Neodiprion lecontei: one gene and its partner. The protein of the gene in region 1 binds, or shares a complex with, the protein of each later gene. Links are inferred from orthologs where the notes say so. Each region holds a gene or a part of one and is shown in the gene's direction. Other genes may lie near its edges.

Region 1 (17,363 bases):
TTGCCTACAAAACTTATGATTTGAATAATTGTCGTGAAGTTATAGAAATATGAAATAATATGAATTAAAGAAATAGCTGAGCCACTAAAAACGTTTGTAAATGAATCTTTACATAAAATTGACTATCGATGCTTATTGAACTGTTTGAGTTAGAGATTTTGTGTACAAGACATTTTTGTACAAAATTAAATTTTCTATAAAATACTTCCAAGATTAAATCCATATCATTGAATATGGCTGAGTGATAAGAATTTTAAAAAATGACAATATCTTTCCTATGTTATTTAAATGGGATAACTTTTAATTTCTTCAAAAAGCAATATTCTAAAATTGAATGTGGGAGATGTCCTTTGGCAAAAAATTTTTGGCTGTGTACAAATTCTTCAAATAGAAGTGAAACAAATGCTGTTTCTGGTTGAAATACTGGATTGATAGATAAAATTATTTGAGTATTCCTAACAAATGTCTTCCAGGGAAAAGTAAACAGTTTTTAGAACTTTAGTAATTGGTTAACATACCCTTGTTCACTTGAATCTACCTATTAAATTTTCATGGTAGGGGGTCCAAACGTTCAAGACTTCGAAGCTGTTAGAATGGGAATTGCGTATGTGGATACAGTGAAATGGAGACACATGGAATGTCTCCTCGTCATGAACAACAAGTCTTCAAAATGCTCAAAATGTGCAAGTCTGAACGTCGCCTTGGCTCAAAGAAGAAATAGGGAGCCTATCTACAATATGCTTCTGGAAAAACAAAAGGAAATTGAAAGGTTGAGGAGATCATTGAAGAAAATAAACAGGCACAATCGACGTCTGAACGAAATTCGGTTCAATTTCAAAAACAGACTCAAATCACTCCTAGCGGGTTCAAAATGAAATGTTGCCAATAGGATTATACCAGAAATTCAAGAATTGATGACATGATTCAGGAATACCTCAGAACGAATTTGGTTAGGAGTTGAAAAAAACAGTATATTATGTAACAAGCGAATAACCCATTATATTCCCGTGTTGCATGTGGGATATTATTCCTGACTCAACTGTGACCACTTTATTGATTTGAAAAAGTGGTTACCCCATTAGTGGGAGAATCTTGCTACTTTCATCCCTCTTTTCAGGTGAATAAAGTGGCCATTACAGTTGAGTCGGGAATAAACACACAAAATTCTGGATTGTTTCTTTGCCTCCAGTTTTATATTTACTCACTTCCAATGTATATATGTACATATATGTGATTGTTACAATAAAATGACTCGACCCTTGTTTTTTTGCACAAAATTGCTCCTACCTATTTGGAGAAAAATTCCAAAACTTTGCAACAGACGAATCATGAGCTTTTTGCATCAAAATTAATAGTTACTTTAATGCCAAAAGAGACATTTATTTTCGTTTAATCTTCTGCAAATTTCAATTAAACCGTTTTATAACATATCTATTTCGAAACGAATTATTCTTGTAATGGTATTATAACGGATACTTAAAACATTTTGACAAAGTAAACTTTTTCTATTTTTCATACAAATTAAATTATACATCTATACAGCATATCACATTTTATGCTGTGATACATTTCATATCATATGTGAACTACACATAAAAGGATTAATATAACAGTTTCAAAGAATGGAGTATAAATTTGATGTCGCATAAAATTATAAATTCTTAATCAATTTTAATTCTTTCATTAAAATCACTGAAAAGAAAATGTTCTTTGTGAATTAATGATTACTTTAATTTACACATACGTAGTAGTTTACTGCCATACATTGTACAAAAATGAAACAGAAATCTTTCGTACCATCATTTACACTACAAATTCTTATTCATTGTACTTACGATTGGCTCTTGAATTGTGGAGAAATTTCGGCAATGAACAGGAACACTTCATTTCAGTTTACGTTTCCGTCCGGTTTTTTTTGGACGACTTGATTCATTGTCATCGGTAAACTATACAAAAAATAAAACTAAGGAATGACAAAAATGTTGGTTAAATTAAAAAAAAAAAAGAAATTTGAATTTTAACAACTGCAAATACTGATTTGACTAACTTTTTTTGGACAAATGTTACTAAAAAGTATTTGGCTGAAATTATTTGGACGGAACAGATATCTTTAGGAACTGATAAATACAATTTGTTAGGTCTAAGTTCTTGCGAGATCATTTCAAAACTATAACTGAATTTGACATTGTTAGCATCAAGTTTTTCTATTGGCGAGCTTCAATGAACACTGTTCATACCTGATTCCATTCTCTCCGCAATTCGTTCAACATGCTTGGAGTAAGAAGTCCTTGTGCCAGTAATCTTTCTGTTAATTTACCTTGTCCCAAAGTCTTGGCTGTGACACTTCTAGAATCTATAGGTTGAAAATAATGGAAGCAAGGTTATCAACAGGCCAGTTAACAAAAAATAATGTACATTGTAACAAATAAAATAACCTCTGAAGTATTTGTTCTTCTGGGTGTTCAGTGCAAAGTGATCTTCGTCAGGAGCTAACACAGCACCATTGTTTGAACCTGAAAATGATTTGATAATGTTGGAACATGGCATGGCACAATTTACCAGAAATTTTAATATGTAATGTCTTCAACAAACCTGACTCTGAGGTCTTTAAAAGCTGTGTTAGTTGAACTATGCCTTCTTGTATAACTGCATCCAACTCCTTCTGAGTATCTCGCACAATATCTCCATCAGGCAAGAGGTCCATGAATCGATAACTAGCAGCAAATAAGAAAACAAATACCGTGAATCTGATGCTTAGGCATTTTTGAATTCAACTGAATTTGTAATACCTATCTAATTCTAATGGCTGAACTCAAAATAATTTCTCACCTGAACCAAAGGTAGAGATCTAAGACATCAAATACTGCTTCTAAATGAACCAAATCTATGATTGTTCTTGGTGCGGCGACTGGCCAACCGATGTTTTGACAAAGCCAGTCAAACGTCAACGTTTCATTTTTACTGTATTGTCGAGCGAACTATACAAAATCAAATATCAAAATTATGTTCAAATACGTATTTTTTTAGGCAAACAATATTTATTGGGATCCAAAATATTTAGACGCTATCCAGTAGCAGAAAAATTGCGCAATGTTAACCGTGTCGTATTTGATATTATTGTTCTTTTTTTACGTATATTTTATTATTTGACGACTTCGTATAAAGAAAAAAACTCATTTGGACAAAGTTTACTGCCCATTGATATTTGCATAATTTTTTTCTTTTTTAACTAAGACCGAGGCAAAATTTTGGATCCCAATTGAATTAAAGAATGAATGAACCATATAGTCTAAATTAAAGGTTCGGAAAGAAAAAAAAATTGCTCCAATCTTCAACGGTGTTTTTCTTTGTGCCAATGATAGCGAACACGATCACAACAATATCCCTAATATGAGATAAAAATGATTTTCAGTAAATTCGTATCACTAAGATAAAGTATTAACAATTTGAGAAAAGGTTTTATAATCAGAACATTGGAAATTCCTAAACTGTTGTGTTTTTTAGCCGATTTTAATATTTTTGGGCTCATTTTGCTCGCTGACTAGACCTCCACAAATTGTTAAAAACATTCACTGAATCTTATATTATAGTATAATTACAACGTGCAAATATAATTGTTGAGAAACATCTATTGTGCTGTGCTGCACAAACATTATCCACTATAAGCACAACTGTTTATGAATTTTTTTTTTCAATGTACCCTCAAAGCTCTATGGCAAACACAGTAAGCTCAAAGAATAAGAATCAATTCGAAAATACCAAAGTTTGAACATCTTGAGCGTTCTGATTATAAATCTTTTTGTCTGATGGTTGATATCTTAGCTTTTCTTATTCGAACATGGTCATATTCATTTATAGTACACAGTAGAGATGTTATTTCATTCGTATTCACCGTCATTGCCGCACATAAAGCTGCTGGAGATTTTCTAAATGATTTTTGTTGACTTGTCCTAGCATTCAATTTAGACAGTACAGCCCGTTTGTACTTGATCAGAAATTACAGATACACAATTTGGAATCTTTCTGACTTAAATGTTGTTAATCAGTTTCAATTGAACTTTTTGAGCGTGACTAATGTAGTAGAATATGTGATATTATTAGAATAGATTGGTTGAGCATGATCAGCTTACTTTCAAGAACATTGTGCACACAAATGGTATTTTCCTATTTATCGGCGCACAACAAAATACGTATCGTGCGCGCAATGGTAGCGGGATGTGCTGAATTATATCAGCAAGAAATTTGAAATCGTCTAGATTGCACATGAAGTATAAAGAGTTGTCCACTATAGATAGCGATACGAAAATATCCTGCAATAGGAAAGAACGATTAATAATTAATTGTAAGTCTGAAAAAAGAGTACAATTTACGGACTCGATGCAAATCTGCTGATTCCTAAATATATTATGATGTATTGAAACAATCACCATTAGATTAGACAGAGTAGAATCAGGCAGGTAGTAAGCATATAGTTCTATTTGATCAGCGGTTGGATGTAAACCAGCTTGAGTAAGGACTTCTGGTTCTTGTGAAAGCAAGTGTTGCAGCTTGGATAGATCATCTGGTCTAAAAGTTGTTACATATCCCTGAAACAACAAAGCAACTACAACTCCGGGAAGTCGAATAAGCGTGATAGAATTGAACACCGAATTTTTAAAAATGATTTACTTTCTCCCATTGTGTACCATAACGCCCGGCTCGTCCAGCTATTTGCAGAGCAGAGGACACAGGTATCGTGTCAATTTCTTTTTCGCCCTTTTCATTGATAGTCGGCTTCATCAAAGAGTAGAATATTATCCTTCGTATACTCCTGCCAAATGAAATATGTGTAAAAAAACGCGAATGATTAAACATCGAAATTTTTTTCCACACATGCTATTTGAGTTCGCCTTTATCATTGGAAAAATTACGATTTAAAAAAAAAGAACGATACTAACAAATTCAAACCCATCCCGATAGCATCAGTAGCAATTAAAACTTTACATGGGTTATTGATGTCATTGAATTTTGCTGCTTGAGCTAGTTTTGTTCCTGGTGGAAGGCTTCCATATATAACTGCCACTTCAATACCACGAGATTCGATGCTACGAGACACAGAATATATTTCATTTTTACTAAAGCAAACTATACAGTCTCCTGCAACTACATTGTCCAGTGATTTCAGTGCAGACTCTTCGACTTCCAACGGAGTCAGACGTTTATATCTCCGTACCTCAACATCCTCTCCAGTTGTGATACATATGGAGCGGACCTAACATATAGCAATCATTAGTGATTCGGACAGCATATCTCACCCATGTAAATTTATGAATCGTTGGCCATCAAATTCATTGATTTTTCAACGAATTTTGAAATATATACTGACTAAGTCTATCGCAGCAGCTTCTCCGCAAAGGTGAATTTCATCGGCTGGCAGTCCTAGCAAAGCTCTAGTCCATGCCCAGCCTCTACCTGGATCTTTCATCAATTGGATTTCATCTATGACGGCAACCTCACCTAAAATAAATTAATTTTATTCCATTCGTTTCCTTTTTTTTTTTATACTTAAACGTAATATGTAATGAATAATTGAATCAAAGGATATAACCTTACATGCAGCGTTTGTGTTGGCCATTTCGACTGTGCAAGATATGTGATTTGAAGGGTTGTCTGCACCTTTCGCAAAATTTTTCTCTTCTCCGGTAATTAAGTCGCATGGGGTACCCTGGAAAAAGATGCAGGATAAACAGAGTATTGCGATAACGTTCAAAACAATGAAGAACATTTGCAAGATTTTCAAAAACAGTTCTAATGAATTACTGAATCCTCACGTTAGTGTTGCTTTTATTGAACACTTCTGCAGCCAACAACTTCAGCGGCCCACAATATAATCCACTTTTTGCAGTCATGAACCTCTGTAGCGCGTGGTAAGTTTTACCACTATTCGTTGGTCCAGCATGAAATATAATTTTTCTTGTCTTAGCTCTCGCTAACGGGTACCTGCAAAATGATAGTTATTTAATTTGCGCATATTTCTGGTTATAAATATGAAGCTCTATTCAAAATACAGAAGCAAATATTTCCACTGTTTTATTCATACCAGTTAGCAGGTGTGCGTAGATCGCTTATTTTCTTGAGATCATCCATACATTCAATATGGGGAAAAGTCTGTTTCGCATGACGCATAAAGTACGGAAATATGTCATCGACATGCCCGGCTCCTTGCATTATGTCGCTTATTACAACATGCAAGTCTGCCGGCAAGGTTTCAGCATCTAAGCAGTAGCGTCGAAAACTGATGAAGGTTTGATGTTGTAAGTAACCTGCAAGACGTTCATATTTGTGTGTGCAGTCTCCAAAATAATGCAGAAAAACTAAGAGCAATGAACCAAAAGTAGGGAGGAAACAACCAACAGAAGCATTTACATTGGCTTTTGTAGGACAATGTTTATTGAATGTAATTTACAGCGATAAAACGGGTGGAAACAAGCAGGGAAATCTACTCAACTTGAGAGGATCAATCTCAGAACTTCCAGCTACTCCCACTATCGATGAAGATAAAAATTTCAGACTACATGATTTATAATTTTGAAAATAACTTTAAAGGCTCAACTGATTTTAGTAAAAATCTAATCAGCTTTATATTAATAAAGCTAAACCCATGAAGCAAGTTTCATCTGCATCTAGACGTTTTTGAGATACCACAAGAATTAAGTTCAAATTCTAGTCAGTTCTGAGTCAAGCAAAACTGAATCAATTAAGGCCAAAATAATAAAATCTAATCTTTCAGTAATTGCCACCAAAAAACGATCATACACTCAAATCGAGATGTCCACCTGAAAGTGATCAGAGAAGATTCTCCAGGCCTTAAATAGTAGAAATATAGTGAAAACACAACTTTTCATTTTCAGGGTAATTATAAAAACTTTCCTTTTTCTATAAAAATACCAAAGCGGGAAGTTGAGAAAACTGAAATAACGAGTTGAAGCACCTTAAGTACTCACTGTCCAATCCGTGTTCCATGGCGAGCACCTTGATCTCTTTTCTTTGATAGAATTGATTGAGCACTTTCAGGAGGTCAGCTTTGTTGAGAGCCCCACTAAGTTCAACTCCCACGTTAATATCATCTGGGTTCGACTTGACGGGAACTGGTTTGAACAAAGATGTGATTGTAGTCGAGTCATCTTTTTTTCCCCGCAAAGGTTGTGCTAAATAAGCTCCAATTCTAAGATATCTGAAAAATAAAAAATAACGCGTAATGTATTAGAAATCAATTCATAAAATTATTACATTCAATAATTTTTATAAAACTTTACCTGTTGTTGATTAAACTCACCTCACACTTACACCTGTTACAATAAAATATTTGTAGGATATAGGAATACAAAATTGACCATAGGTTATAATAAGTGAATAAATATGAATAATGTGTGTCGATTACCTTATTACAATATAAAAGTATATAATAGAGATATTATACTCTACCTGTCTTGTAAAGTGGTGCACAGGATCCCACTTCTTCGAAGTAGGGATTCCGATATACGTCGGGTTGTCGGTATCATTTTTATATATTTATTAATTTCACAACATCCAAACCAGAGTGAAATCAGATTATCTTTAAATATCAAATAACGTTCATCGTGCAATAGGTTATGTTTCGGAAAGACCTGCGGATCAAAAAATTACAATCGAGCGTGCCGACTGCCGGTGCGCGCACTGAGTGAGATTCCACTGTTTTCAACCAATAGTTGAAACGAGATACTAGAAGAACCGTAATCAGTGCGCATCCGCAAGTGTAGCCAATGAAAAGCGCCATTACTCCGTGGCGCAACAGTAAGCATTTACAAAAGTTGAGAATGCCGTACAATTAGTTAATTTATTCTTAAATTATGACTCTTCCCTGGTTTATCTGAAACAAGTGATTGAATGAATTGTCCAATGCATTTCAATGCTTAATCGGTATTTGGTAACTCAATCTACTAACTGTGCGTCTAGAAACATTTTCGCGATAGTCTCGAGCCTAATTTTGGATTTATCCAAAGGTGTGCGTTGGGACTTTAGACAGTTTGAAATGAGTTGTGCGTTCCAAAGCTTTCTAAAACCCTTCTCAATGCGAGTTGCAAAACCTGCTGCCAACCAATGCTTGTCAACACTGAAAATTCCCAAGAACATCTTCCACCTTTTTTATTCATTGGGTTCATTGCGTTGCCTAATTTTCCGCTATTCACGAGAGTCCGATTTTGTATTCTTTCGTGTCAATTAAAATTTTTGCATTACTGATACACGTATAATTTCAATGGCAAAATTTATGCAAATCAGTTGGTTGCAAAAAGAGCAATTTATTACTAGTTATGTTATGATTGGAAAAGTTTAGTTTTCAGAAAACCAAATCTATGCAACATCTTTACCAACTTTTCAGTCAATGCCATTGGATCAAAGAACCATTCATTTACAGATAATTCACTCTATGTAAATGACGAGAAAACCAATCGTCATACTTACGAACAGCATAGATAAAATATACAGGAGCTTCAGGTTTATTGTTACATAGTTCATATAAGTATAGTTACTATAAATATTAAATACATTTTTACCACATATAATCTCCAGTCTCTATTTCGTTCATTTTTCTAGTCGCTGTCAGAATCTGCATTTCTCTTAGTAGAAACAATTGATGGAATACAGTTTCTGTCACTTATCATTCCATGCTCGATTAAAAAATGTTCAACATCAGAGGAATAAAAGTCAACTCCAAGGTGATCTGTGACACGAACAAAATTACCTATGACTTGTTTGTTTTTATAAACAAGCAGTGCTGGAACTCCCTCCTTTTTGAAGTGCCTACTTAAGCCTGCGGCGGAGCCTAAAAATAATTCAGCATTAGCAACTGCAATGTTCTTTTATAGAAGTTTGGAATTCTTTCACCATCTCACCTTGAATTTTGCAAAATTTAACGCTGGGATATTCGATGGCCAGTGAAAGTAAACAGCCATTCATAGTCTCACATCCTTCTATGTCAGGTTCATAAATATGAATAACGATGGTAACAGATTCATGTTCGTTGTCGATGGCCTCCAGAAATTGATCAGCAGTTACCAAGTTGAATAACCGGCCAAATCTTAATTTTTCAGCCCGAGTGAGCATTTCCATCATTTTTTGCTTCTGATAATTGAGTAAAAATTCGTCGTTCATCAAATCTGCCAACTCTGGATCGGTTTCCTCAAGATTATCTTTTTCCTCGTCAAGAGCACTCCTGCAAGTCAAACTCAACTTCTTCAGCAGCTCGATCCTCTCCTTCTCCTGTTCGACTTTCTTCTCTGCCTCTATTTGTTTAAACCGCTGCCAGTCGCCTAAGACCCCTTTCGGCCCTGTGTTGCTTGAAGTTCCGTCCCACTTTGCACACTCAGGCAGTTGCTCAGACCTTGACGCTGTCGCGTCGCACGGTTTCTGCGACTTTTGTTCATCTTCAGAATCCGCTGAGTCTTGCCCCTCGTCTTCACTTGAACTACTGCAGTAATATTGTAATTTTTCACCCAAAATTTTATCCTCAAGTGTTGCCATTCCGTTCTCTTTTGGGCTAGAGCTTTCTGTTGTACCTCTATTTAATACACGAAGAGCGGAATTATTAATATTATATTCAACGGAATAATAATTTTATCACCCAATCTCAGTCCATGAACATCAATGCTCTGCTCTTCATTCTCGCTGTTTTATCGAAAACCAATTATTTATTATAATTGTTGACTGCGTGAACGACGCTTTACACCAAGTTGACGCCATAGAGTAATTCTCTGAGGTTGATACGCCACACACTTTAGCTTACTGCGGGTGCGTATCAAAATCAGCTCCCGGCCCCGGTAGCAATCTTTTTATCTCTTTTGCACTTCTTGAGTATGACTGGCTCTGTCTCTGTTTTAGGCATGTTAAGCAATGCGCGCGCTTACAGTTCGCTTGTATAAGTTTGGTAACAAGGAGTGAATAACATGTCATATCACTTATAATACAGTATTTTTACGTACACCAAAGATAATTCTCTTTGACGTACACTACCTTTTAAATTCACAGCTAAATGCGGGTAGGACAAAAATAACTCGATCGGTAGGGTAGGATTGTAACCCTGTCAAACCATAAATAGAAATATATCGGCGCCCCGTGGCTGACGCGGCTGTGTGAAGTGTCAACTCTTAGTCACAGAACGGAGTATTCTTTGTTCAAATTCAATAAAAATTTGGAATGCAATAAAAATACTGAAAACTGAATACAGGTTCTGCATTCGAAAATGAACGTGGTGAGTTTGTTTTTTGAAGTTTATGCTGTAATCATATGTGACCGTTAGCTAGCGTTTCGAAGCCAAGTGAAAGTAACTATAATCGAGGTTATGTTTTTCAAAATAGAACTCACTCTTTATTGGAATTGCAATAGAAGTCAGCTCAAAAATTCGAAGCAATATAGACATGTATATTCGCGATCTGTATTTTTCTAGCATACACAAATCAATTTGTGATTCAGTTTCAGGAATTGAAGAAATTTTTATATCAGCTATTGAACAGCGTTGATGGCTTACACAGTATTTTGATCACGGATCGTGATGGTGTTCCTGTCATATCAGTGTCAGATGAAAAAGCCCCAGAATTAGCAATGCGGGCAAGCTTCCTTTCTACATTCGGAATGGCCACTGATCAAGGGAGCAAATTAGATCTAGGAAAGAATAAAACCATTATTAGCATATACAGCAGTTATCAAGTAAGTTATGAACCATTGATAATAAGAGCACCGTAATTCTGGAAGGCTGTTTGGAGTTCAGTTATTCCACTTTTACATGCAACCTTTTCTGAAGAGTACATTGTTTAAACATATAATGATATGAAACTAGTTCTATATGGCATATTATTTTTCAAATTTGACAAGATTTTAAGGTCGAATTTTCGGTACGCTTCATTTTTTGAAATCTCATATTACCTATTACAAGGCTTGTTGATGATTTAGTTTGATCTTTTCATCTCAATTTGTTCTTAAATTATTAATTTTTTTAATGTAACGTCAAATTTTCCTAATTAAAATTCATTTTTTCATTTGGTGAGAAATTTATATTACGATGTTTTAGTCGTTTGAATGAAAGTTATAAAAACAATTTCTTCCACATTCATAAGAAAAAAATCTTTTCCGTATGAACACGTATTCCTATAGTAGCGTCCGATTGATTACAAACTTGATGAAATCAATCTTTCTTTCACCTGACAAGAAATTGATTTTTAAAAAAGTCTCTTCTGAATAGATAGTAGAAATACAACAATTCATCGACCCATAATCATAATTGGCTTTATGCGAAAAAGTAGAACGGAACTATAAGGAAAATGGTACAACGAAATTATGAGATATAATTATGAAATATTTTATCAATGAATCCATCACTCAAGAGGAAAAAAGATATGTTTTACCTTTTTTAAACATCTCATTTAGTTTTTAAATTTCATTCATTTGCAAAATTTAGATGGAAAATGTTTCAAAAATTCTATATTAGAAAACAAATTGAGAATGCAGCTTCAAAAAAATCATCAGCACTTCTGTCAAGAGGTAAAACTGAATTTATAAAAAATTTTGAAACTAAAAAATTATCAAAACCTTATCAGATTTGAAAAATAATGCTCCATACACATTAAAGGGAACTAGCATTTATTGTATTTCAACTATATTATATAATTATAAAATTAATTAATTATTGTGCAAATTTCTTGTAAATTTTTACCTCTAGTTACAATTATTTACCATGTTGTCAGAAACAGTTATAAGTGTGTAAATACATGGATTTATGTGTGATCAATGATATGTTCAACAGGTTGTTCAAATGAATAAGCTACCATTGGTCGTAAGCTTTATTGCAAACAACATTTGTGATACCGGGCACATCTTGTCACTAGAGAGTAAAATTGATCCAATTTTACAAAATCTTAAAAACGTTGTTGCCGAAGCCTGATGGACACCTGTGATGCACTAATAAACTAATTGAAGAAATCGTGGAATTAAAACGTCACGACGACTGTGTAATTGAATGTGTAAAACACATTGAACCAAATTTTAGCAAAACAAAGGTTAAATATTACGATTTAAATCGTTGTAAATTAATTCTATAAATCTTATATAATTATGTAATATACATACAAAACAAAAAATGATATATACTGTATATGTATTATTGGAGAATTGAATTGATTATTTCGTGAACACGTGTCATACGCACACTTTATATTTTCGTATTCCTAAATAACTTCGCATTCATAAAATAAAAATAGACATTGATCACGGAGTCACATCTGTATGAATTAACGTGAGATATAACACACCTACAAACAAGTTACTGGAATGTCAATGTGCTTATATCCTGGGTAAAAAAATTCCCAGACTTGACACCTTCATATGAAATATACTATAAAACATAATAATTGCTAGGTATATATTCTTGAATATGACGTAAAGTGGAAATACGAATCTTGAAGACATGTATAAAAAATTAAAGCCCCGTAAAATTTCAGTTGCTTTGAAAATATTTGATACATATATCAGGCAACAGGTTACACAGTTGGTGCAAACTTTATTGAAAGCCTGTTTGCCACTATAATTCATAGACGAGTGGTTTTCCTTCCAAGCCGTTGATCACGTTCTGCGCCGCTGTTGTAGCCATGTCTGAGCGGGTTTTCACCGTTGCACTGCCCAAATGCGGGATTATAACTAAAAAGTTCAATAAAACGTAAGTGGGCTTCGGGTGATTAATTTGTTTCTGCATTTGTTTTTCTTCATCTTGTATTCCCAAAGACATTGATAAAAAAATAACAGGCAAATCATAATTAGCAAAGGTTTGAATTGTCCTGATAATGTTTGAGGAAATTCAAGAAATTCTAGAGTTTTAAAAAAAAATTTCTAAATTCTTTACGCGGAATTTCATTTTCTACCAAAACTCAAATATAAAACTCCGATTTTTTTACTTTCTCGTTGTGCATGATCAACTCGACTGATTTTTAAGAGGTGAAAATCGGACCAATTTCTATGGATAACTCATGTTTTCTCAGAACTCCACTATGTGTCACAATCCTGAAAAAAATCGTATCTCTGGCGTATCGCGTTATGCAAAAAACAGACGAATTTTTGAGAGAAATTAAAAATGAAACAGTTGAAAAGGATTTTAAAATAGATTGAACTGTCTAAATTTTTCAAAAATATTAAATCATCAATGTTTTTCTATACGATATTTGCAAAAAATTATTTCTTTTCCTAGAAATTACTAGGTCCGGTTTAGGATTTTTAGAAACAAGTAAGGATCTGTTAGAAATTAACCATTCTGGGTAAATTCGTACAAATATGTGAAACCTTCTGGACATATTTTATTGCCAGGAGAGGTCCCGACGTAAAAAATCGCTCAAATACTGACCTGCGTTCGGCAGGCTTAAAAGTGGATGGTCACTGGGGAGTGGCTCTGGATTCATAACATCCAATCCAGCAGCAAAAATTGTATGATTTCGAAGTGCTTTGACGAGGGCATCTGTATTGACGACAGGTCCGCGTCCTACGTTCACCAGTATCGCCGTATTTTTCATCTGGGCAAAAGTGTTGTCATTGAACATATTCGTAGTTTCATTGTTCAACGGCGTGGCAACTATCACGAAATCACTTTCCTTGAGGAGATCAGCAAACGATACAAACGTAGCTCCAAGATCGTCACCTGCAATTATATGAAACGTTGCATGTGTATTTCGATCCGAACGTTTATTCATATCATAGGTAATATTCATTAATAATTTATTTACCGGCTTGTTTTCTCGAGTGGCCCGAATAAATGAATCGGCCCACTTCGAATGGCTTCAGTCGCTTCACAATTGCTTGTCCAATGTTACCCAAGCCTACTATACCTACAGTTGAACCGCGTAAATCACGGCCCAACATCCATTGCGGCCGTGACTCCCACTTGTTTCTGAAAAAATTAACCAATATTAAAATATTTCGTTCTAGTACCTTGAAAATGAAAGATAAACAATAGTAATAATATAATTATGATACACCCAATGAATTAGAATTTTCTTGCAGCTTATACTAACAATGCATCATCTGCAATTCCTACCACCCTTTCGCATTGAATTAGCATAATTATAAGAATCAGCCCCTCTTAAAGTTAAATTAACTTCACAAGATCTCAGATATTTTAGGGTGGTCTTAAGAAAGGTCATTTTTGAATTTCGATTGTTCGACTGTTCCATCCCCTAAATCGGATGCAAATAATTCAAAAATAATTCTCTCATTTTTTCAGCTTCTTATCTCAACTCCAACCCGTGCCGCCGGAAGGTTGATTTCTTCGATTAACCCTTTTCAAGGGAACAGTAAATCTGCCAAATGGATTTCGATGAAATTTGATGTAGGGGGGTTCCTCGGGTCGCTGATTACGAATTTTAACTCGAAATTTCAAATGTCGAAATAGGCAAATCAACATGGCGGACAAACATCCCAAAAGAAAAATGATATTGCCATATTGGATCCGCCATTTTAAATTTGGAAATTTCGAGTTTAGATTCGTAATCAACGACCCAAGAGGAACGTGTTATATCAAATTTTATCGAAATCTGTTTGGCAGATTTATTGTTCCCTTGAAAAGGATTAAATCGGAAAATCAACCGTTTTTGCGGCACGGATTAGAGTTCAGATGAAAATCTGTAAATGTTAGGGAATTATTTGGTCCGATTTGGGGGACGAGGCATTACAAATTCAAAATGTCCTTTTTAAGGACCACCCTAAGGTGCATACCTATGTAAGTAATTGTATTTGCAGCTATGCATATTTTAAAAATTCTTTGTTATGAAATACATAAGCTAAAATTGTAATATAACAAAACGTTGAATTATTTACTCGATGATTTTGATACGGCCCTCGTAAGCTCGCCTGGCCGCGCTCAACGTCAACATTACAGCGACCTCAGCAACAGCAGCAGTTAGAACATGGGGAGTGTTACCTACTTTTAAACCCCGCCGTTTTATTTCAGGCACGTCCAAATGATCGTATCCAGCAGATGCTGTTGACACCACTTTCAACCTTGGTCCTGAAGAAAATGAAAACCTGAGTTTCAATATCAATCAATCAAAGAGGTAAGATAATTTCATGCCCGTGGAAGAAATCCATTTTGTTGATTGGTAAATATAGTCATGTCAGTTCGCATAATCTATAGTCGCTTTAATTAAGAAATTATGAAAAAGCATATTACAGACTGGTTGCATAATCCATATAATATCTAATCGGAGCAATAGATTTTTATTGCTTCAACGAAATTTGATTTCACGATAAGATCAGATAACGTATATAACGGAGGCCGAGTCGGCCGGAAAAGTTTGTATGAAGCCGAAAATACGTAATATATGTTACCTATAAGACAAAATTATATCGTTTTGAAGCAACATGTTTTTTCGCTTCCACCTGAATAACTTATTATATTTAGTAACAAACAAAAATCCTCAAGGAAGACTAACTCTTAAATCCAATTTTAAAATATGCTCTCGGAATCGATATTTAAAATTGTTACCAGTCAGCCGTATTTATTGATACGAAATTTTCGTTATAACGTCATTACTTTGGCCACTAAAGATCTTTAAAGATAAATGTTTTACATCAAATTCATTATCAAGAATTATAACTTGTGAACCACTGAAACACGAACTTTGCTCCAAGTATATTTTTATACAGAATTTAGTTCCCTATAAATATTCTAAATAAAATTGATTTTCGAGGCCTATAATTTGTAAACTGTTTGAGCTACGAATTTCGTTCAACGGACACGTCTGTAGTGAATTGAAGTCACTGCAAAATGCTTTCAGGATCAAGTCTGGGAAGAGTTCAAATACCGAGAGCGATATTTTATAACTGGATTCAAGACACATTGTCTCCTCCGAATTTTTCAATACGTAAAACTTTTTTAGGTGCAAGCGAAAAAAATTATTGCTCTCATTCAACATTTACCTGCAACATCCAGTAATTCTTTGTTCACGACATGATGGCTGGCGAGATAAATAGCGTCATGGCCCGGAAGTGCTTGAAGTACTTGTTCGCGTGTACTAACTGGGCTTGGTAGAATTGTCAAATCAAATCTGAAAAAAATCGAACAGATTTGCAGATATTGCTATTTGAAGATATGTTTCAGCATTTAATCGATTTATTATTATAATTATTATTATTACTTTGATATATTTTTATAAAACGGATCGTATCATCGCAAGAACACAGCTGCTGTTTGTGTGGTTTTAACGAATAATGAAAAATATATTTGTAGTTAGGCATTCTTCCTGTTGTTTCTGTGGTTTCAACGGACGTAAATGGTAAAATCACGTTGTGTATGGGTTCTTAATTCCTGTTATTTGTGTGGTTTCGAAAAAGGCAAATACGATGAAGGAGCTAATGGTCGTCCACTTGTTTTACAATATTTTTTTTCACTGTTTTCTGTCAGAATTAGAGTATATACTTCTGTCACCGTGAAACTTGTAGATTAACCGGAAACTTTTCCATTTCGTCCATACTTATCGCTATTGTTGAGCAGTTTTCGCAACCACATATTTTTGACGTAATAACACACGTGATTTCCTTAATTTATATCAATACGTTTATAAGGCAATTACTTTTTTAATAAGTTGACAGGTGATTAATTTTCGTGATAAAATAGCTGTGGGCAACAATTGGCTTAATAATGGCCAATCACTGGGTGGCGGACCACTCGTACATTTTCCCTATATTAACAGTTCGTTTTCGTTCCGATTAAGACCCTAAAAAAAAGAGGTAAGATTCATTGGAAAAAGAGGTCTGCTTTTTATATGTGCATAAAGTAGAGTAGTAGAGTATACAATAGAGTATTAAAAAGTAATTAGGTCACATTTTTTCATTTCCATTATCCTTATAACTCATGACTTTATTTTTCTACCTTCAAATGCATAACTGGGGTCCGAACGCACCCAGGCTTTTCTTGATCATAAAACCAATCAATTGCTAATAAACACACCTTCTCATACATGGTTTTCTTCTTCTTTTCGTAAGGAAGAAAATGGTGTACGATAAATCGGATTTTATTTACAATTAGTTAATGAAAAACACATTCGAAGATTAAAAACCGCGTAGCGATAGCGGTACTGAACGTAGTTCAAAGTTGCGTGGTGTACGTTCGGACTCCAGTCATGAGTTGAAATGAAAAAAGAAAAAATATGCCCAAACTATTTTTTGTCCAGCCTGCACTGAAAATATACCCTTTCGTGCACGGAGAGTGGGCGCAAAGTGCCTTTTTCTCGCCCGAAAACGAATAGGCGGATGCATGCAGATTATCGCAAGCGGGCGCAAAGTACGTTTTTGCGCCCGCTTTACAGAATGAT
Region 2 (15,401 bases), on another chromosome or scaffold:
CGATCGCCGCTTCTATTTCATGCTTTCGATCTTCGTCAACCTTGTTCCTCGTCTCTCTTCTCTCAGGCTCGGACTCTCCTTTCGCCGCAACCGTCTGGATTTTTACTCTAGAAGTTGGACAGACCCGATATAAGGCAGAAACGATCAAAGATATAATGTCAATCTCAAAACTTACCGATGAAGCTTACTGGTGAAACTATCATTGACACTGAAGCAGTGTGTTGGCTCAATTTCTTTAGTTTTGGGATGCTTGAGGAGAACTCGCTGAGTCGCCTTCCCCATTGCCAGAGATTGTAATGCTCGGACTAAATCTCGCTCAGGGATGTCAGTTTCATTCTGAATTTCCTGCGATATTAATAAACGCTGGCATCAGTAGAGATCATTTATCTTTTTACCAACTAAAATCATGGGAATGTAACAAACCTCGTAAGTGAGTCGATCTCTGTTGTTGAAGAGCATGAGTACGCACATCTGGTACGTCGATACTTGGATAATATGTTTGCGGGGATTTCCACTGCTGCTTCCCCGCTGACTTAAAAGACTGCCACTTCCGTTGCCCAATGTGGTAGAGGACGAGGGAACGTCCACGCTTCCGCCATTACTGTCTTCCTTCCGAGGCCCATGGAAAACCGCATTAAGGTCAGCCGAACCTGTGCACACGGTCAACAATGAACCATTAATTTGCCAATTCTGCTTGAACTCGATTCAACAAAGATGACTAGTAATTACCCAATTGTGGTTGTAACGTCAGTTGACGACCGCTATGCTTGGCCAAGTAGAAACATCGAAAAGCATCAAACGCTTCTCTTGGCGCTGAGGGCACACTGCAATTCGGTGTTGCTGACTGTGTTGGCCAAAATCCTGTTGTCAGAACCCTCACGCTCAGATCAACGCCGTGTAGACTTGTCTGTGAAATTTGATAAACAATTATCCAGAAATAATTATGCCTGAGCAGTTCCACGTCAGTTTGATCATTTCAGATTTGATGTGAGAATGAAGGATTTTTTTCAACACGTTTGTAACTTACGCCAGACGTTAATACGTGTTCCTTGAACTCTTCCATTATAGTATTGCTGACCGTCATATCCTTGAACATTCCTTCCAGCTTTGATGTAAACTGGCAACCGCATTCAGTCTAAAAAATTGCACAGTTATGAGTTATTATATAGGTACGTATATACAGTGTCAGAGTCTGCGGTAACTGTTTTGAATCGAGGTTTTGACCTGCCCTGAAGTCCTGCAGTAGTTGACGAAAGGTTTCTACATTCGTACGTCTTTTATAAGTAAAGTGCTAGCTTTATTAAACCATGCAGAACTCCAAGGCATGTGTCTTTGCCACTCCCTCTGCCAAATTGTCTATCACACCAATTGCAATATAGTGTTTAATCGGCTAAGAAAATCAGAGCTTCGTAAAGCATGCCCGAGACACGCGCCGTGTCTGAATTTGATCCAATACTTTGACGAATAATACTCGCATACGAGCCTGAACCGAAGGATGATTAAATTGTTGGAAGGTTTGACGGTTGGTTGCTCAGCTCGAAGCATGGTTTTCAGCATGGTTTACAAAGCGGACACTTACTTGATCCTACAATGGGATCGGGACACAGGGTGGACGGACATACTCTAGTCTAGTTTCTCTTTGTGCACTAGCCCTTCGACCTTTGAAGGAAGAACGACTCCTGGGAATCTTTGGGTGGCTCAGCGTTCAGCTTTTTCATTGCGATCAAGATGTCCACGTCCACGTTGAACGCGCCCTGTGTCTGCCAGAACTATGCCATTTAAAATTTTCACACTATCCAATGGGACAATTTACTCTAGCCTCAGTTTGCCAAAGTATGCCGAATGAAACTAGGTGTCAGCGCATCTACGAGCGCGTTTGTAAGACGCAATTATGGATCATGTACCTTTAGCTTTGAGATCATATTCTTTTCACTGTCATCGGAGACGGACTTATTCAGAAGCAACCGCTTGGCTAAATGCTGTTTATAGTATCGCTCAAAGACATCCTTCTCTTGCAGGAACCTGAAGAGAACCATTGTCTTGTCAAGCACGCCTTCGATCTCCTGCTCTGTCATCTGTAGAAAGTAACATTTCAGTTAAAACCTGCACGAAAGGATCTTCATGCCAAGCCGCATTCAACTTACCCCCTTTACACCTTTTTTTAATTTGTCATCGATAAAGAGAGAAAGATACTCAGGGCTCTTTGAATTTAGATTCAGAAAGTGTTCAAAATCCGACGCGATCATTTGCTTGAATAGTTTATCATTGTTAAACGAGTGGTGCAGGAAATGGTCGAAACGATCTTTCAAGTCCAGCAGATTTTGCACAAAGTGTATTGCGTTTGTGGTTGGCTCATGCTCTTCTTGGACCAAGGCGCGTCCTTGCTCTCTGAGGAATTGCGACACACAATCTGATACAGTGCGCAATCCGTCTGTTACTCTCGCGAATAATTTGTACATGCAACCAAGGTCTTCAGTTTTCTGGTTCTTCAACATATGCACCACACCACTGTTTTCCATCTGCAACAGCATTCATTTGAATTATTTCAAAGTTTACAAGACTTTAGAGCAATTCTGTAACACGTAACAAAGATTTGATATACATGAAGTTTACTGCTAAATTTTGTCCTCACCTCAACGATGGTTCTCATGTGTATTTTAATCAACTCTTCTTCCACCACTTTGACTATCCTTGGCTCTGTGGATTCGTCCAGATAGTGCTTCGCCCGTTCTGACTCTTCAAGAATTCTAGCTTCAACTTTCTTTATGTAGACTGAGGCGCTGTTCTCGCCAAGGAACTTTTGCGACTCCATCTGTTGAATATTCGTTAAACACGATTGATTGAAAATTAATAGGACAATTGATATGGTTTTGTGAAAATAAAAGTAAAACTTGCCCTGTAAAATTCAGCGCTCTGTTGTAAGAAAGGCCTCTCGAAATCCTCTTCGTAAACTTGGCGACAGTTTATACCGAGCAGCATTAGCATTTGACATGCATTCTTTATCGCGATTCGATCAACGACCTCCCCCCTTCTCTCTCTCGCTACCATGCCCAGGAGTGTCTCGCGTAGATGATCCCTCACGCAGCCGTACCTGACTACCTGAAATAAATAACGATTCGTCAAAAAGGATTTGTACAGATGTAGCGAAAGCAACGGTTTCAATCGATGTGTTACCTGATCCCTGAATATGATTAGGCCCAAGTTGTAGACGTTGTCAACATCATGCTGTTGCACATAAACCCTATCCATGTACATTAGTATATCCCTGATCATAACCATAGAGGTCTGATGATCGTTCCAAGCCTGATTCAGTGTCTGGAGAAAATTGTTGTGAAGGGAGCGTAGCACGTCTTCCCGAACTTTCGACTCCAGGTGCTGCGTAACAACTTCTTTCAACCCGGTGTACAAACGCTCGCCATGCTTGTGAAGGACCATGGTGTATGCATTTCGGTACAGCTCCTCAAAACTCAGGCCGGAGTTGTTTTTCTTTTGTATTTCTTGTATGGCGTTCTTCAACAGTGCCCAAATACTCTCCACATATTTTTCGTCCATGGTCATCTAAAAACAGAGCATCTAGGTGTGAGAATAAAAAATCAACGCTGATTTGGCAAACTAATAGGCAGTGTCCCTCACAAGGGTGTCGACGATCACAAGGGAGCTCGGATTCCCTGATCGAAACAGCCCTGAGATAGTAGCTATTTCACTGAGTGCTCCACACATAATTTGTGAAGTTGGTTTTTCTAACTGACCACGTTCCATGGTTGGATTTTTATCCAATCCTTCTCTGTGTGGTGACCGCTCAATCACTTTCTTTAACCTATTGTTTTATGTGTCGATCGGCATAGTCGCCATATCAAGAACGCTCAAAATTAACCTTGACTTGTCAATATAGCATCAGCAAAGACGTGATTACTGCTGTCACTAAATTGGAGTTTCTACATCCAGGCCTAGTCCTTTGAACAGGCAATCTATCAGCCTATTGATAGTTTCAGTGATTTGTAAGACTTTGGACTTGAAAATTTGGCGAAAGTAGCGTTTGTCGGGGTGAAAAATTTCGTTTTTGGATTTGTAGGGAAAAAAAAGTGAAAGGCATACTCCTTTCCATTGTCTTTATGACTGCTAAGGCAACTGTCTTGAATTTGGGGGGGGGGGGGGGGGGGGTGAGAATGGGGAAAAAAACACATTAGGTTCGTTCACCAAACCAGTGCACCTTTCGTAGGCTGCTGTGGTTTGGCTATCTTGATACAATATACAAAGGGGCCGAAAGTGAAAGCTGATCAAATATATTATATTGTTATATGGTTTTAGTCGATGTGAGCTAGGTTAAAGGGGTCGGGAAAGAGGAGGTGGGGAGGATGACGGGTGGACATATTTCCATTTAAATGACAGTGCGTGAAATCCGACGGACCCGAGCGTCGAGCCTCGAGGATCGTGAGATCGTGACAATATGAAAACTGCCCGAGTCGAAAGGCGAGGCGAGGCGAGGCGAGGAGCAGCGAGTTTTTCCTCCTTTTAATCAAATGGGCATGCATATTCGTCGATGAGGGAAATAAGATACGTGAGAAATCTTCTTACCGGAAACGCGCGTATCCGCATTTTTTCTCTCTTGTGGGTCGCACCGCTCTTCATCATTTTCAGTAGTAAAAAATCTCCTCAAGGGTCTTCGTTCAGCTTGACACTTCGGTATTATTACTACCAACACTATAAAATCGAGTCAGCGAAAATCTCGATCTCCGTACGCACATTTACAAAGCTTTAACGGTGTCATTCACGCATCGAGGCCAGGGGCGGGCGCGGGGGCGACGTGTATTTCGCAATGGTGGGTTCGAGGAATAATATCGACGCTCGCTCGACGGTGAGAAACAACGGGGACCGAGCGACCAGTCAATGTCGGTTATTTACAGGAAAACAAGGCATCTGAAATTACCCGTTATCGCGGGACTGTGTGGTGGGTAGTGGTAGGTATAAAATGGAGTCGCGCCACCAAAACACAGAATTTATTTTATAGGGTTATTTAAACGCGTCTGCCTCACGTCGTCGGTCTTTAACAAGCTCGTCTCTTCCTCGTTAGTTCTCTTTGTGCTTTTCTTTCCTTTTTACCTCCGCCTTAATTAATCTCACTTCAATGGAATGACGCACATATTCCCACAGATCGAGGCATACCGAATTTCAACCGTGTGTATCAGACGATCTATTTTCCTAATTATTCCGCGACGATGACGACGGGCTGCCGGAGGAGGAGGAGAAGGCGATGAAGCGAGCACGGAGCGCGAATAACTAATCGAGCGCTGTGGGCTGCGTTCGATTCACGCGGTACTATAAATACACATTTTTATCACGATGTAATGGAACGTAACATAAAACTGTAACAAAATACGCGATTACCACGCATAATTGTATACACAAAATATCGCACTTGGCGAATAATCCTATTCCGTTGAATAATTAGGCTGCATTTCATTACCGACTACCGGAACTACATGCCTCCAACCCCCATGGTAAAGAAGTTCCCGTACAGCTGACTAGGAGCCCTTTGTTCCGATAGTTAGATGGCAAAGAGGTTTTTTTGAACGTAACGTAACCTAAAACTATAATAAAATACGCGTTTACCAAGCATAGATGTATACCGCGGTATATCGCACTGGATGAATTATCCAATTCCATTAAACGATAAAGCTGCATTTCATCACTGACTGCCGATACTACAGCTCTATAGCATCCATGGTGAGAAAATTCCAATACAGCTGTCTAGAAGCCTTCTGTTCGGATAGTTAGATGGCTAGGAGGGTTTTTGATACTGCAATACCTCTCGCTCTCGGTGACGCAATTTCCTAGGAATTATCATGATGCACTACACTGGTCTTGTAATACAATGACTTTCTATTAGCCCTTCGAAACTATTCGTCCAAAGCCGATAGTTCGGAAGTAAATGCTTCATAATTTTTTTCAGTGCTCAAACGAACGCTGTATTTTCGGCGCATTTAAGGCTCACTCATCGATCACCAATTTGTTGAAATCAATCTTTCATTACAATGAACTAGCAAGTAACCGGTTACCGATAATTTAGATATAGGTGGAAAAGAATTGCGTTTTATGCCAACATTCAAGTTGTGGAGTTACGTAAAGTATACGCAATTCAAGTATCCAACTTGATCTTTGACCATGGCTACTCAGGAAGTCTTGAAGTTATATAATTTGAATACAGTGTAGCTGTAGAGCAAGGTTTCATATCAGTCCACAGCTATTTCGAAGGAATACGAGACTATAGATAATCCAACAATATTCGCACATGCAGGTTTTCACAGTTCCTGTAAATGAGGCAATCAAATGGTAAAATCATTGTAAAACATATTTATAAAACCTTTTGTTTATACATTGAAAACCAGACGAAAATCGTTCATTTGACTTATAGGTTTACAAAAATATTTCACAGGCTAAAGGTTCCTGTAATAACAATGGCATTTTCATACTTAAGAATACTTGAGTGTTGTGCTATTAACGCATGTATTGTCTAAAAAAAAAAAAAAAAAAAACTATTTTCCTCATCCAATAAACACCCCTCGAAGGTTTAAACTGAAAAAATTGGCAATAGATTCTGGAATAAATGAAGCAGCAGCCCTTTCCTGGGCTCAAAGCTTCGACCTCCGGATATCTGGGAACATGTATGTTTGCAGTCACGCCTTGGCCAGTTCCTTCTTTAAATTGTCAGCGAGCTTGTCCATAAACTCGAACGTCTCAAGATAGTCTGACCTTTTGACATTGTTCATGCCCTTGATGCAGATTGCCAAATCTTTAGTCATACTTCCAGCCTCGATCGTATCAATGCAAACTTTCTCCAGAGTCTCTGCGAATTTCTTCAACTGGTTGTTGTTGTCCAGCTTAGCACGGTGTAGTAGGCCCCTTGTCCAAGCAAAGATCGAGGCAATCGGATTGGTCGATGTCTCTTTACCCAGTTGATATTGGCGGTAATGCCGAGTGACTGTTCCATGCGCAGCCTCAGCCTCGACCGTCTTGCCATCAGGGCAGAGAAGCACAGAGGTCATCAGGCCTAGAGAGCCATAACCTTGAGCAACGGAATCTGACTGAACGTCTCCGTCGTAGTTCTTGCAAGCCCAGACAAAGCCACCCTCGGATTTCATAGCGTAGGCAACCATGTCGTCAATGAGCCGATGCTCGTACCAGATATTCTTTGCTTCGAACTTGGAACGGTACTCAGCCTCGTAAATCTCCTGGAAAATGTCCTTAAATCTGCCATCATATTTTTTCAGGATGGTGTTCTTGGTCGAAAGATAGAGCGGGTAGGTCCGAGCCAAAGCATACTGGAAAGAGCTGTGGGCAAAGTCACGGATGCTCTCGTCGGTGTTGAACTGGGCCTGAGCGATGCCAGCCCCCTTGAACTGGTAGACAGTGTGCTGGATTTTGTCGCCTGACTCACCTGTCCAGGTGATTTCCAGTTTACCGGCACCTGGTACCACAAAGTCTGTGGCCTTGTACTGGTCAGCATGGGCGTGACGGCCGATAATAATGGGTTGATTCCAACCAGTCACCAGCCGCGGAATATTCTTGCAGATTATAGCTTCCCTGAAGACAGTGCCGCCCAGTATATTCCTGATAGTGCCGTTGGGGCTCTTCCACATCTGTTTCAACTTGAACTCCTTGACTCGATTTTCGTCCGGAGTTATCGTCGCACACTTTATGCCCACGTTATATTTCTTTACAGCCTCCGCGCAGTCCACCGTCACCTGGTCATTAGTTGCGTCCCGGTTCTCCATACCCAGATCATAAATGTGCAACTCAATATCCAGGAACGGGAGTATCAATTTGTTCTTGATAGAGTCCCAGATGATACGAGTCATCTCATCTCCAAGAATGTCAACGACGGGTCCAGCCTGTTGGAAAAATGCTGTTTCTTTAAGTATTTTCATAAGAAACTGCTGAACATCTTATTTACAACAATTTCATTGTACAATCTAATCATGAACGGAAATTCCGAGAAATAATCAAACTATCAATCAATTGATTATTACGGCTTATATCGCGTGAGATAATGATCGCTGTGATATCCACATTGTAGTAGGAACCTTATCATTCGAAACTTATTAGCTTTCACTCGACCTCGAGCTTGTTTTCTATTTAAGTGAAACCATCGACATTCCACGGCAAACGATGGGTCGACTAAATGTGGGGGGGAGGAGAGGGGATCGACCTCTGCACTGTGCACCATAATGTGCACTATCATCCAAGGTGGTTTGGAACGGGGTTCTAATCATGCAATAAATACGGAATACTTCGGAACACGAACGCTGCGAACAATAAAGTTCCCCGAAAGGTGAATCGCAAGTGTCTCGTGATTTGAAGTGCCTTCTCTCAGTCGCGGCATTAGTATAGAAACTGTTTAAAACGGATACGCGACGATCGCGACCGGCCGTATGAGACTCGAATGTTTTTTAAACTGCAGGAAGATGAATCGGCTAACAGGGCGACGCCTCGGGGGAGCGTGATGGATCAGGGTGAGATATGTACATTCATAGATACCTTGATCTTAGCCATAGCGATTGACGTGGAGCTGAAGTTTTTCGATGTCTGTGTCGTCCACGTAAGGTTTCGTCTGCGCGATGCGTCGAATGAGGAGTTTCGGTCGAGCAGAGCGACGGACGACGTACTGCAGCGAAGTAATCGAGCCGCACTGTCCACGGCGGCACTCGGTCCTAACAGGCGAGTCAAGGAACGGAACATGGCGCCTGTTATTGTTATTATTACCGGATTATACGACTAGGGGATAGGATGAGTACGTGTACGGAACGGGTTGCGTACCGCGTATCGAACGATCCTAGAGTTGCACCGTCACTGGTCCCGTCGACCGGGTTCCCGAGATGTGTTATCTCTCGCGGAAAGTTGTGTACCCCAGGGACCTTTGGACGCGCTCCCCGGGTCCGAAGAGTACAATAAACCAACGGTTTATTGTCATTGACGGGTCAATTGATGCCACCCCTACATAAAATTGATAGCGAATTCTAGACGTTAACAGTATTGCTGACACGCGCCATTCTTTTAACGGGAGTTGGTTACGCAATCGATTGCCGCCTAGAGCGGCCAGCCGTCGAGTCAATCGGCCGAAGCCCGAGAGGCAATGTAACAGCGGTGGCATCCGCCATAAAATATCGGACTAATAACAGCTGCCCTCCAGGCTATCTACATAATTACGGTTCGCAATATTTTTTCATTTTGCCCCGAAATATCCGAAATATGTACTGCACATGCATTAAAGGTACTGTGTGGTGTTATTTAAAAGGCGGGCTGAATTAGCAATTTCTGTGAGTGTCATGCGTGATAATAACGTCTTGTTAATGCCTCAGAATAAATGAGATATTTATTTTCAAAGTCAAAACAAGGATGAAACTACGACATTTGCTACACTGATATGTAATGATATTTATGTCTCATTTGTAAACCACTGACCTCTACTTGTATGCTAGAGATCAGTGATGTAAACTCAGTGGTTTACTACAGAAAATCATACCGCGAACTTCACAGAGTTCGGCCATTTTCAGCACTCATTAGCTAGAGGAGCTAGAGAGTAAATTTGAGACCAAACTACAGGAGAGTGGATTACAGCGCCACGGTGAACAAACGATAAATGATATCTCCAGATTTCCAAGTTTTGTCAGTTGGCTACATTGAAGTCTAAGCAGGCAGAAAACAAGAGCAGAAAAATACATCGCGCTGCATCGCGCTGGCTACCGCGTTGTATTTTAGACTATCGCCACACGTCAAACCACAGGTTTTGTGTGTTGACAGGTGACACTTCCTCGCAAGGACAATTTTGATACTCGGCTCCCCAGTGCTTACGTTAAATTTTACCATTCTGCAATATACAAACATCCGCTAGGTTATTTGAAGATGTTGTCGATGGAGAGAATACCTGAGCAAATCGGTTATTTGGTATTAAAAGAGGACGGGGCGGTACTCACGGTATGACAACGCGATACAAGTCGAGAGCTTCATCATTGTTTACTTTTGTTTTTTTTTTTTCACTGCTGTCATTTCAGTCGGGTGGAGAGCTGGAAAACGACGAGAGAATTGCAAACATTATCATGAGCCTGATCACTCTGACCGACACGATCGATCCCAAGGCGTTTGCGTCCGATGAAACATTCAACAAAATATCCATAACCTACGAAGATCACTGCTACGTCATATGCCTGTCAAACAAGAAGGTTCACATTGTTAAGAAGAAGATAACCGCGTTGACCTCATCTCAAGAACAGCAGCAGCAGCACCTGCCAGTGATTGCTTGATGAGTCAAATATTGCTTATCGAAATAATTACAAGGAACATATGTTAAGTTGAAATATAAAAATGAGACATGTAATAAAGCAAAGATCGCAAATGTGAACGGTAGCAAGTTTCCTAGCTTTTTTGCTAGTGGTTCTGTTCATTGCACCTAATCGACTAATTATAGATGTAGTTGGACACCGAGGGTGATTCTTCGGTTTTTAGGCAGTCTGCGCCATCTATGAGCTTAGCAAAACGTCTATGACTGAACAAAGATGCTGCAATCTGCGCGAATATTTTTTAATTATCACGAATATGCATATGTACGCATGCATAAATGTGTGTAGTTATAATCGGTAATAATACGCGTGGGAAATATAACCCGTTAAACAATGATCGGTAGTATTGTTTAGATGTAAACAAATGGCCACCATCAAGGTAACCGAACAAAAGGTGATTTTATGTGGCGAATACGGGGTCGGGAAAAGTTCGATATTTAGGCGATTCGCGAACAATACCTTCGTCTCAAACAATGATAGAAAATCGACCTTGGGACTGGACAATATCAACAAACAGTACACCATTGACGAAAAAACGATTCGCGTAAGTAGCACATTTGCCTGTTACGTTCAGTTATTTTCACGCGTGCAAGTGCAGCTTTAAATTTATTGTGTCGGACAAGTATATTCATTTACACCTGTCAATTTTGGCTAATTTTCTACAACGTCGAGGGTGGTCCTGACTTTCCAGCTGCAGTTATGGGACACAGGAGGAATGGAGAGGGTTGCCTCTATAACATCCAGTTACTACAAATTTGCAGAGGCGGCAATATTGGTCTTTTCGCTTGACAATCCGACCTCCTTTCACCTCCTCTCACAGCACCTTCTTGACATTGTAACTTACGCGGAAAACGCTAAGATATTCCTTTGCGGGAACAAGAGCGACTTGGAAAGCGTTGATCCTCAGGTCACAGATGTGGAAATGGAACAATTCTGGTAAGAGAAATAATCTATTCACATCGTAATTATATGTTGAGAATTAAAGCAATAAGTTCATTGACAGTCGTAACTTTTGTTTCCCAGTGAACAGTGTCACAATTTGATATCGGCGACGTACAAAACGTCGTGTAAAACGGGGCACGGGGTTGATGAAATGTTTGAAGATATTGCACGCCATTTGGTCGAGGCAAACAGATCGCGTATGGAACTGCACGATATGGACAAGGACCACTTCAAAATCACAAGTTCCGACGAAATCGACGAGCCATCCTGCTTGTGCTAATTTTGATTCAGCTTTTAATGCCCAGAACACGTTTCTCTAGTCAACTCAAGAGGAAACGGATTTCAATTTAAAAATGCATGATTTATGTCATGACAAACGCTGGCTGAGCATATATTAATATTATAATAATTTATTGACGGAGGATGAATGATGTGTGGCGATTTGATAAATTTTCAAAATAAAAATTTATTCATTTATCATAAACTCTTATACTACTATGCAGCGAATGCAATGTTGAAATCTGGAAACTTGAAATCTCACTAAGCTAGTCATAATTTACTATGTATCACTTAACAAATAATCCGTGTACAAAGCCCTTTTTGAGTAGGAACTGTTCAGTGCTGCGTCCATTTGATTGACTTGATATCGATACCCTCTTGTACCATTTCCCACAGTGGACTGGCAGGAGGAAGAGAAAACAGAATTATATCAATTTTACAAGCAAACAAAACTTTTGCTAGAGTTTCAATTTTGACATCGAGCGCATAAAACACATACCTCATCTCTCTGAGTCGAATAACGTGGCGTATGATGTTATGCGCTGTGTAATCGACTTCTTCACGAGTTGTGAAACGACCAATTCCAAACCTGAAATGCACAGTAATTTGCCATTGTCAGCATTTATATGTCAGATATCCTAGTTTGCAAAAATTGTACATTCACGCCTACCTTATACTGGAATGTGCCAGGTCTTCGGCAGCTCCAATGGCACGTAAGACGTAGCTTGGCTCTAGACTGGCGCTCGTGCAAGCTGAGCCGCTGCTCAACGCCACATCTTTCAAAGCCATCAGCAATGACTCTCCCTCGACAAAAGCAAAAGAGAGATTCACGCAGCCAGGATACCAGGCAACTTCATCACCGTTACGCACCACATTCGTTAAACTGCCCATTATTTTTTGTATCAAATGCTGGGAAAGATCTTCTATATACTTGTGGTCATACTGTAAACGTGGAGAAGAACACAAGTATTAATCCAGATAATTTTCAGTTCAAATTGAAGATGATACTTAACACCAGATACTATCAAACTGACGTAAAAATGTAATTTCTTTTGAAATCAGAGACTGATGAAATTCCTGGAAATTTTCTGAAATTTCCTTGTAAAGTAATAATCTCATGACATTTTCAGGTTTTCCCAATTTTCTGTAATGCTGGACACTTTACAGTGAAGCATATGGAAAGTTGAGAAAGTGTTGTACTAACAGCCATTTCCTTTTGTGCGAGCTCGCAAGCAGCCCCCAGCCCAACCACCAGAGGTGCTGGCACCGTTCCACTTCTCATGCCTCTTTCCTGACCCCCGCCACTTTGAAGGGCTTCGACACGAACCCTTGGCCTACGCCTGACGTAGAGTGCTCCTATGCCTGAAACATTAGTTGAGATGCATGGATATTTTGAAAAATTTCTCGATCTCTTTATGCACTACCTTTTGGCCCGTACAACTTATGACCACTGATCGACATGAGATCTATGTTCATCGCGTTCACGTTGATCGGAATTTTTCCTACAGCTTGCGCAGCATCTGTGTGAAAGAAAACTTTCTTCCTTCTGCAATATCAACAAATATGATAATCTGTTCACTGCTCAATACTTAACGCTTTTATCTTTGTCTTGTTCTGAAACTTAAAATATATTTTACAGTATAACAACCTGCATAGAGCTCCAATCTCTGCAATTGGCTGTTGGACACCAATTTCGTTGTTCACAGTCATTATCGAAACAAGTGATGTGTCAGGCCTCAGAGCAGCTTCAAGTTGGTCTATGTCGATTAATCCATTGGGTTTGACAGGGAGGTATGTGACATTGAATCCTTCAGCTTGCAAAGCTCTGCAGGAGTCCAAAACGCACTTGTGTTCCTATGTAAAAAGAACAAGTTGAGAGACCTCAATACTTCTCATCAAATGCCCGTGGCTTCATACTTCATTATGTTTTACAAATATTTCCATTCTGGTCTCCAATTAATTTTATTTCAAGCATACAATATATTTGAAACGGAATGTAATCACAAAATTAGAAACAAACTACGTAAGCCAACATCAATGATTATTTCACAGTGAAAACATTATCAAATGGAGCATCAAATAGTTTACATCGTATCCAATTTTCCTTTTCAACTCACAGTTTGTGTCGTTACAACGTGCTTTTTCTTTTCCTTGTAAAATCTAGCCACACCCTTGACAGATATATTATTGCACTCCGTGGCCCCAGACGTGAATATAATTTCCTTCGGATCAGCTCCTATCAGATCAGCAACTTGCTACAAGAGAAATTGAAAGAGGATAGAATATAAAGCACTTAGAGAAAACGAGATCCTTACTAACTTTCCGACCACGCTCAACAGCTGCCTCTGTTTCCCATCCATACATGTGAGTCCTGGAATGCGGATTGCCGTAGTATGTTGTCATGTACGGCATCATCTGGTCCAGCACACGTGGGTCCTGAAATGAGAATCGACGTATCAGTTGACACCCAGATGTACTAATACTGATTAAAACAAGTTAGCGAAGTTTAGCGATTGAAATTTTTCCAAACAAACCGTTATTAAAACAAAATACGTTTATACAATCACAAGTGTGAGATTAAGAATAATTTTAGTTCCGTTCGAGAGGTGGATAATTACCAATGGTGTAGTGGCCTGGGCATCCAGATACAAGGGCCGACCCTCCGCTGGACCCTTTTTGTACTCATCACTGATGGGAGCTGGAAAAAAACGATTTTTAACAAGTAGTTAGGCGCAATTGCATAATTTGTAGTAAAATCTTTCGTTTACTAGTTCAGCGTACATTCGAATTCTTTGACAGCCGCGTAGTGTCGCTTGGGCGACGAAATCACTTCGTTGACGTGGTGATCGCGCGCAAGAGGCACGAGTCGTTTCCACAAACGAAACATTCTTTCGTTTGATCGGCCTTCTTCAGTCGTGCGACATTTACTCAATCAGTTGGCCGGTCGCGCGCTCAAAAAAAGGAGGAATTTGGGTTAGGAATCTCGATGCGAAGGCAGAGGAAACTGTACGGATCTAATCAAGATCTTGAATCTCGAGAGTCGAGAGCTAGGCGTACGCAGGATCACCGATCAATTGGTGCCGCGACGAAAAGAGATTAGTTGGAATGAAGTGAAGTGAAGTGCGGTTAACCTGAAAGAGCGTCGGTAACCCTGATAGAACAGCTCCTGCTCGTAACTGCGGTTCTGTTTGCCTCTCACCAATCGGAAACTCGTCCCCTCGGCCTCGATCAGCCGTCAATGGCGCGAAAAACTCCGTGCAGGATGTTTGTTAAGATTGTCATTTGCTAATTGCACTTTACACGTACGAATTTGTGATAAAAATTTGATGCGACGCAGAGACGTTTAGAGTTAACAGGTACAGTGCGTTGTTTGGATAGATTCAACTATGCGCGCATGAGCTGTGCCAAAGTGACCAATATGCATCCAATATGTGAAATCATCTTTCAGTATTCTTCTTTTCCTCTGATGGTTACCGTTTTAGAGTAGTCATTGTTAAGAGTGCCCTGGTCGATTTTGATGTTGACTTATATATTTGCAAACATCGAAGTCCACGTATCTCAAACGCAAAAACGAGCTCAACATCCCGATTCTATACGCGATTCTGTACAAAAACACTTTTATACATTTGCATTTAACGCAGAAATAAAGAATTGGCATGGATTCTATGAAATCACTATAGTAAATAAAATTTGTAGAATTCATACCCTTTGAAATGACCGTTGACATAAAACGTTCATAAAAAAATTTTTAATCTGATCAACGCTGATTAGGGTCACCGTTTTTAAAACGTCAATAGTCTCCAGTCAACGACAGTCTTCAATGAGTCAACGAAATTACACAGCCTT

What was found.
Region 2: ragulator complex protein LAMTOR3-A (region 1) and ragulator complex protein LAMTOR4 homolog share a complex: the UniProt entries of both Drosophila melanogaster proteins name them as parts of the ragulator complex. The link is inferred for Neodiprion lecontei from reciprocal best matches to the Drosophila melanogaster genes Lamtor3 and Lamtor4.

What each region holds. Positions count from the first base shown.
Region 1 is NC_060261.1:12,075,302-12,092,664, reverse strand, and holds ragulator complex protein LAMTOR3-A, read left to right. Parts: upstream 1-9,963; 5' UTR 9,964-10,258; coding exon 10,259-10,267; intron 10,268-10,488; coding exon 10,489-10,722; intron 10,723-11,815; coding exon 11,816-11,953; 3' UTR 11,954-12,356; downstream 12,357-17,363. Other genes in the region: uncharacterized protein LOC107225727, read left to right, coding at 559-875; ATP-dependent RNA helicase SUV3 homolog, mitochondrial, read right to left, coding at 1,884-1,946, 2,238-2,353, 2,436-2,513, 2,593-2,714, 2,830-2,978, 4,131-4,310, 4,428-4,586, 4,669-4,810 and 8 more; phosducin-like protein, read right to left, coding at 8,610-8,842, 8,913-9,540; glyoxylate reductase/hydroxypyruvate reductase, read right to left, coding at 12,590-12,705, 13,403-13,693, 13,779-13,942, 14,869-15,058, 15,970-16,097. UniProt on the Drosophila melanogaster protein: Regulator of the TOR pathway, a signaling cascade that promotes cell growth in response to growth factors, energy levels, and amino acids. As part of the Ragulator complex, may activate the TOR signaling cascade in response to amino acids.
Region 2 is NC_060264.1:23,147,052-23,162,452, reverse strand, and holds ragulator complex protein LAMTOR4 homolog, read left to right. Parts: upstream 1-9,671; 5' UTR 9,672-9,900; coding exon 9,901-9,972; intron 9,973-10,049; coding exon 10,050-10,298; 3' UTR 10,299-10,396; downstream 10,397-15,401. Other genes in the region: cullin-3-A, read right to left, coding at 1-107, 176-345, 424-650, 730-907, 1,028-1,135, 1,905-2,075, 2,145-2,519, 2,633-2,812 and 3 more; isocitrate dehydrogenase [NADP] cytoplasmic, read right to left, coding at 6,675-7,889, 8,536-8,736; GTP-binding protein YPT6, read left to right, coding at 10,699-10,878, 11,026-11,270, 11,358-11,556; cysteine desulfurase, mitochondrial, read right to left, coding at 11,892-11,955, 12,055-12,144, 12,226-12,497, 12,760-12,917, 12,980-13,101, 13,204-13,409, 13,673-13,810, 13,875-13,991 and 2 more. UniProt on the Drosophila melanogaster protein: Regulator of the TOR pathway, a signaling cascade that promotes cell growth in response to growth factors, energy levels, and amino acids. As part of the Ragulator complex, may activate the TOR signaling cascade in response to amino acids.